Linked DNA regions of Rhinolophus ferrumequinum. The protein of the gene in region 1 purifies or fractionates together with the protein of each later gene. This does not show direct contact. Links are inferred from orthologs where the notes say so. Each region holds a gene or a part of one and is shown in the gene's direction. Other genes may lie near its edges.

Region 1 (3,749 bases):
CATCCTCACAATATGAAGTATAGCTATGAGATGGGAGCAAATCACCGGTTTTAAGTATATAAATCTTTGTACTCCCAGCTCTACCCCACTTTTACTGACCTTTATATCTGACCTAGTGATCTATTGCATCTTTTCATTCTTGACAGATTTACATAAATTGGGTGTGAAATGGCCTTCATACCAATTATTTCACCCAAATTCCAACCGAAATCATTTTTAATAGGAAAAAAACTCATTAAAAATTCCTTTGTTAGAATGGGTAGAAATGAAGTATTATTATAAATTCCCTTGCTTCCTACATCCAGCTGGAAAGAGAAAGATGGGGTCACTTTTTCTTTTTTCCCTTATACCTTAAGTGGTGTTATCAGGCTATCATTCTCATTTCTGGAAAGTGGTAACAGGGCAGGTCAAGCAAGTATGGACTGACGAGGAACTGTACTAAATGGCTTTTCACAAAGGGACCTTTTCTCCACATATCCATGGACTTAACGTTTTTGGTGTTTGCTGTGAATTACGGGGGCTGGGAGAAATTAAGCGAAGCCATCACCGAGTAACACATCCACAGCTTACCGTTAGGTCCCTCAGCGTGTAGGGAGGTGGTTTGGCGGGGGCTGCACAGAGAATCGACGCCTCACGGAGGTAGGGGTGGCGGGGATGGGGGCGGGGCGTTTTGTGCTTCTCCGCATCGGTTTGGGTTCCAGGGTCCGCAGAGAAGGACCCGCGCGGATCACGGTAGGGCCTCCGCCTGGTGCGTTCGTCCTTCCAGGTATCTCAGAGGCCGCCTGGTTTTGCTCCTCAGGCCCCCTAACCCTAAGGGCCCATCCTCGAGCCCCGGTGACAGCTAGTGCCCTCCCGCAGCCGCGGCAGCTGCCCCTAGCGGGCTCTGCAGCCCCCGAGCCCCGCGGGCGCGCGGCGCGCCTGTCCTTGTTTGGCCACGCGGCAGCGGCGGTATTGGCGTCCTGTCGGGCCGCCCCCCGCGGGCGTCAGAGGGAGGCGGGCGCCCCGCGCGGTGACGGCGACGCCTGCGGCCGCGGGAGCTCTCCACTCCCAGCCACCGGAGAGGCCGGTGACCTCTCGACCGCCCCGCCTCAGAGGCTCAGATGGCTCAAGCGAAGATCAACGCGAAAGCCAACGAGGGGCGCTTCTGCCGCTCCTCCTCCATGGCCGACCGCTCGAGCCGCCTGCTGGAGAGCCTGGACCAGCTGGAGCTCAGGTGAGGCGGCGGCGGGTTCGCTGGCCGGGGCCGTGCGCGGCGGGGCGGCCCGGGCACAGCCCCCGGGCAGGCTGCAGCAAGGGGAGCTGCTTGCTTGGGACTTGTTTTCTATGGAGATGGTGCAGTTTTGTTTTCATGGTGGATTTTCCTTTCCTCGCTTGAGAGGAAACGCATTCGACTTAAGCAAAATCTGTGAGCGCGTTATTGGCGGCCACATGTTCCTTGACAGACCTGAACGTTTGGGAGCGGAGAAAAATAAGGAAAGATAAAAGTTCAGTGACGTCATTTGAGATTAGGGACAGTGACACTCCGAGTCTACAGAACTTCTAGAACCTTCTGTGTGCCGGTATACGGTCTTCCCAAATGTTTTTAACTTACTTTCCTATTATGCATTTTTAAGAGAAGCAGTAGTTTAGCGGTCCCCTATGTGACTGATCAGTTCTTTGCTCCAGAACACTTCAGAGCAAAAAAAAAAAGTGTAAAAATGCAGGAATCCATCTGATAGTAGGGATTAGAGAGAAGAAGGACAAATGGGCTGCTGGGTGAAGGATAGCTATGTACTTTGTGGAATAAAGACACCGCAGCTTCCCTTTTCCCCATAACCCCACATACTGTATTCAGCACTAACTTTAGTCTCCTTCCATAGTAGACACTGTGCTGACATCTTGAAAGTGCTAGACATTGGCCTGAAAGCATAAGATAGTCACAGTTATTCCCTCTTAACTGATTAAGATTTTAGTAAATGATTAACATTGTGGTAGGCTTGTATAGAATTTCTAAATAATTTATGTTAAATTTTGGAAGTACTTTTTTTCCTTTAACAGTGTATGAAAAACTTTTATGTACTTCCTATAAACTTTTGTGTCACTAAAGTTACTGTGTAAATTGTGTGCAGATGTAGTTAAATGAAAATCTTATGAACGCACCCACAACTCCCAGAAACTACACAGAATTTTCTTTCATAATTTTCTCCAGGTTCTGGGTGAGTATAGGAGTATGTGAGCCAGAAATTTTAAGAAGCATTGCACTGTCTGTATCTCCATCGATTAATATACCAAAGCAAGAAGAGGTGTCTATTTTCCAAGGAAGTGTATTAACAACCACAGTATATCTTAGCAAATGAGGCACTTATTATTATTACTACCACAAGAAAGGAGTGAGAATATGAGAAACTCCACCCACAATGATTTCATGGATGGCAGCTGTTAGACAAACATGAGCCAAAACCACATTCTGGATTCTGCTCAAAGAGACAAATGGAATGAGACAAAAGTAATGTTTCCCCATTACTTTTAACATTAATATTTTTACATCAACTCCCACCCCCCCCCCCAGAGAAAGTGGAGCAAAACTAGAGATCAGTGCCCTCAGCTATGTATTGTCCTTCTGAAGAATGTTTATTTTTATATAAAAGCATAACAAGCAACACACGCATGTCCCCAGGTCTTTAGAACTTTGAGGGCATGTTCTCAACCATATCAGGTGTCTCTCTCTCCCCTAATCAGAAAGTATTTTTCTTTAAAGCAGTGAGGGTGTTGCCCCTCCGTCTTCAAGCTGAGTCATTGTCCTCAGACTGGAATAATTTCTGTGTGTGATAGGTACAAATGCAGTCAAGTTTTCATCTCTAAAAGCCTCTGGTTTTGAGTATTATTATATTTTAATGTTGATTAATATAAAGTAAATTCTGATGACTCTGTACAGGTCATTAAAATATAACGTTTTTAACCCTTGAGCTGAGGAGGAAAGACTGATTAATATGTTCATTTTAAGGACTTTTCTCGTAATTTTAAACTTTTGTAAGCTTTGCTTTCTTTAAGTAATATTGAAGGAAAGGTGTGGTAGATGAGGGTAAAAGGGATCAAATATATGGTGATGGAAGGAGAACTGACTCTGGGTGGTGAATGCACAATGGGATGTATAGATGATGTATTACAGAATTGTACACCTGAAACCTATGTAACTTGACTAACAATTGTCACCCCAATAAACTTTAATTAAAAAAAAGTAAGTATTAATAATATTAACCGAAAAACTAAGGAACTGTTTCAGAAAGTAAGTAAAAATAGAGAAAATGCGAATGCCCATCCACTAAAGTTTATTTGAAACCACGTGGATAATGTAACAGAGAACTACAGTATTGAAAACTAGAGTAAGGGACAGTGTCACAGAGCTCTACATTGTTAAAAACTAGAAAACTGTTAATTTCATATTAAAGATGATTAATAAAGCAGTGTATTAAGTACATTGGTACCTCGATTTTCCAACGTCTCCGTTGACGAACAGTTTGGTTTATGAACGCTGTAAACCCGGAAGTAAATGCTTCGATTTTCGATCACAACTCAGAAGTCGAATATGTCACACGGCTTCCGCTGAGTGCAAGATCTTGAGGCGCCTAGCTGTCGGCTGTTTGCGAACATTTCAGAACTCGTGGATTACGTTTGAAAACTGAGGTACCACTGTAGTTTATACTTAGAACCTTGCATTTATAGTTCCTTTTCAGTACTAATTTTGTCAATTTTGGTAGAAACTTTTTCTG
Region 2 (3,749 bases), on another chromosome or scaffold:
GGAATCATGTGCCCCATAGAAGAGGAAACAGAGGCCCTAGAGGTGTAGGACCCACCCATGTCCCCCCAAATCATAAAGGTAATGGAGAAAAAGAAGCAGGTGCATTCAAAACAGCCAGAAATATTTATGAAGTGTCCACTGCAACTGGGTGCCAAACACTGGAGGTGGGAATCACAGGCTGGGAGGCAGGTGACATTTAGCATGAAAACCACGGAACAAGATAATTTCAGATTTTATTGGCAGGTGTTCTTAAGAAAACGGTGAAGTGAAAGGCCTGAGGAGCGCGACTGGGAAGACCTCTCAGGGAAGTGACCTTTGGTCCCTAGTCCTCAGCTCGCTTTACAGAGGGACCTGTCTGATGAAAACAGGCATAGTCCTAGGACTCCCAATTGCACTCTCCCCATTGCAGGGACAAGAAGGCGGGTGGGTATTTTTATTCCTAGAAGGGGGATCTGGGACAGAAAGACATTCACCAACTTGCCCAAAGTCCTTGGCCGGGGCCCGACCCTGTGAGATGCGAGCCGGTAGGTACACCTCCTCCGGGGAAGGGGCGGGGCCGCCCTTCCCTAGCAGTGCGTCGAAACCTCTTGATCCACGCAGGGGGCGAAGCGCGCGGCAGGGGTCATCCCGGCCATCCCGGACAGTGCAACCAGGTCGCGATTGGCAACTCGCGCAGGGTGGGCAGGGCCTTCGAGGTGCGCGCGCCGTGGGGAGGCGTTGCCGAGGACCGAGCGGGAAGGGGCGTGGCCACGCGCGGACAGCCGTTGGCGGCGCGGCCCCCTCCACGAACGTCAAGCGTCGCGGGCTGGGTGGCGACGATTGGTCGGTGCGGTGCAGGGGGCGGGGCGGAAGGCTCTGGAGGGGGCTGGCGGGCTCTGGAAGCTTCCGCCGGACGGGTATATAGAGTCTGGGACGGGGCGGCGGCGGCGGCGGAGCTTGGGGACGGCTACAGCTGGGCGGCGGACCGCAGGCGTGGGCCATGGGCAAAGACTATTACCAGACGTTGGGCCTGTCCCGCGGCGCGTCAGACGAGGAGATCAAGCGGGCCTACCGCCGCCAGGCGCTGCGCTACCACCCAGACAAGAACAAGGAGCCCGGCGCCGAGGAGAAGTTCAAGGAGATCGCCGAGGCCTACGATGTGCTCAGCGACCCGCGCAAGCGCGAGATCTTTGACCGCTACGGGGAAGAAGGTGCGTGCGCGCGCGGCCGGGGGCGCGCCCCCGCCGTTTGACAGGTGGGGAAACAGAGGCACGGCGGCAAGGCTGCAGCATCCCGGGGGGGCGGGGGGTGGCTGCCCCAGGCGGCGAGCATCCCCCGCCCTCTGGCCATGGGCGCCTCCGTCCTCGGATTGGCAGCCGCCGGATGAGAGGTGGAGCTCTGGCCGTGCCGCTGGCGCAGAAGCTTCTAGCATGTCAGAGGCTGCCCCTCCCTGGATGCTTCCGCCCACGTCCCCGATCGCCCCCGGGTGCGGATGGAGAAGGGAACGGAGGCTTCTTCAGCTAGTGGCGCTGCGTACCCCTGGCCCCAGCTCACCTGGGAGAGGTGCGGGGCCCCGCCACGCAGGGGTGCAGGACGAGGCCTTTGGCTGATAGCCGGCCACCACCTGCGTCCAGTGAGACTGCAAAGGGGACCGCCAGTTGTCCCTTATCTCCCTCGTGGGCCCCTGGAGGGCAGAGTGAGCTAATTCCTGTAAAGTGCTTACCCAGCCCCGCGCCGGGGAAGCAAATGGCTGCCAGCGCCCACAGTGGCCGTCCAGGTGCAGGGAGTGGAGGGGACCCACTCTGCCCAGCCTCGTAGGGTAGCTCTCCTCAGGAAAGAAAAAAGGAGCTTTCCTTTTTGTCCAATTGCCCGTGGATGACTCACGCTGGCTTTTGGGCTTGGTGTTAACAAATGAAGTGACTTTTCACATAAGGATAATGGCAGCGGTGCCAGGGTGTGAGAATTAGAAAGCTGAAAGCTGGCCCTGGATGTGCGTTTTTCATCTGATCTCAGTGAATTCTTTGTTAAGTCTTTGTATTATTGTCGGGAGGGTAGGTCAGTGAAGAAGTGGCAGGATGTGGGTGGGCCCTAAAAAAAGTCATGTCAGAGCTTGAGCTCCCTCACCTCTGCTTTGCCATACTGAAGTACTTGGATAGGGAATCTGTCTCTGCTGCTACTGTGGGAGGTAAAAGCTCAGGTTCTTCCTTGTTCTTTACTGAGAGGCTAAAAAAATTTCTCTTCCAGTGACCCCCAAGCACTTTTCCCTTAAGGAAAGCTTTTGGCCAGTCCTCTGACTTCTTGGGATTTTGTCTTTCAGGCCTAAAGGGCGGTGGTCCCAGTGGTGGGAGCAGCGGTGGTGCTAATGGTACCTCTTTCAGCTACACATTCCATGGAGACCCTCATGCCATGTTTGCTGAGTTCTTCGGCCGAAATCCATTTGACAACTTTTTTGGGCAGCGGAACGGGGAGGAAGGCATGGACATTGATGACTCATTCTCTGGCTTCCCTATGGGCATGGGTGGCTTCCCCAACCTGAGCTTTGGACGGTCTCGCCCTGCCCAAGAGCACACCCGAAAAAAGCAAGACCCCCCTGTCACCCATGACCTTAGGGTTTCTCTCGAAGAGATCTATAGCGGCTGTACCAAGAAGATGAAGATCTCCCATAAACGTTTGAACCCCGATGGGAAGAGCATTCGCAATGAAGACAAAATCCTGACCATCGAAGTGAAACGGGGGTGGAAAGAAGGGACCAAAATCACCTTCCCCAAGGAGGGAGACCAGACTTCCAACAACATTCCAGCCGACATCGTCTTTGTTTTAAAGGACAAGCCACACAATATCTTTAAGAGAGATGGCTCTGATGTCATTTACCCAGCCAGGGTCACCCTGCGGGAGGTAAGGCACTAGGTGGGGCAGTGTCTGTGGAGGGAGATAGCAGATAGCGCTTTTTGCAGCAGTTTGGGGTTTTTTTTTCATATCTCTCTTAATTTTTTTTTTTTTTGGGTAACAGTGTTTTCTGCAGGACCCATGAGCTCCAAGCCAAGTTGTTGTCCTTTAGTCTAGTTGTGGAGGGCGCAGCTCAGCTCCAAGTCCAGTCGCAGTTTTCATTCTAGTTGGGGGTGGGGGGGGCACAGCACACGGCAGGGCCCTCCTTCAATTCCATGTGGGAATTGAACCGGCAACCTTGTTAAGAGCTTGCGCTCTAACAAACTGAGCCATCCGGTTGCCCAGCGGCAGTTCCTTGTCTTTAATGTAGTTGTGGAGGGCATAGCTCACTGGCCCATGTGGGAATTGAACCGGCAACCCTGTTGCTAAGAGCTCATGCTCTAACTGAGCCATCCAGCTGCCCCGGTATTTGTTTAACAGCTATTTCTGAGTGTTTGGTGCCTCCAGACTTGGGGGTGCGGCAGGAGCAAGGCTGGCCAGGACTCTGTTTTTCAGGAGCTTTCATGCTGATGACCTGGGTAGATCTGGAGGGCAGGGCCTAGCTACAGAGGTCTGATGGCTCTTACTCTACCCAGATAGTTTCTGGGCAGGAGTGGAGCTTCCTAAGGTAATCTCCATCTAACACTGTCACTTTGCTTTCGAAGGCTCTGTGTGGCTGTACTGTGAACGTCCCCACTCTGGAAGGCAAAACCATACCCGTCGTGTTCAAAGATGTCATCAGGCCAGGCATGCGGCGAAAAGTTCCTGGAGAAGGCCTCCCCCTCCCCAAAACACCCGAGAAACGTGGGGACCTCATTATTGAATTTGAAGTGATCTTTCCCGAA

What was found. The genes of interacting proteins can lie anywhere in the genome.
Region 2: the proteins of BAG2 (region 1) and DNAJB1 purify together in Homo sapiens (affinity purification with mass spectrometry; 4 studies listed by BioGRID and IntAct, with this or other methods). This does not show direct contact. The link is inferred for Rhinolophus ferrumequinum from reciprocal best matches to the Homo sapiens genes BAG2 and DNAJB1.

The regions. Positions count from the first base shown.
Region 1 is NC_046286.1:24,058,549-24,062,297, forward strand, and holds the start of BAG2 (BAG family molecular chaperone regulator 2), read left to right. Parts: upstream 1-944; 5' UTR 945-1,100; coding exon 1,101-1,213; intron 1,214-3,207; exon of another isoform or gene 3,208-3,749. UniProt on the Homo sapiens protein: Co-chaperone for HSP70 and HSC70 chaperone proteins. Acts as a nucleotide-exchange factor (NEF) promoting the release of ADP from the HSP70 and HSC70 proteins thereby triggering client/substrate protein release.
Region 2 is NC_046301.1:47,640,566-47,644,314, forward strand, and holds the start of DNAJB1 (dnaJ homolog subfamily B member 1), read left to right. Parts: upstream 1-868; 5' UTR 869-979; coding exon 980-1,190; exon of another isoform or gene 1,191-1,234; intron 1,235-2,296; coding exon 2,297-2,874; intron 2,875-3,569; coding exon 3,570-3,749. UniProt on the Homo sapiens protein: Interacts with HSP70 and can stimulate its ATPase activity. Stimulates the association between HSC70 and HIP. Negatively regulates heat shock-induced HSF1 transcriptional activity during the attenuation and recovery phase period of the heat shock response.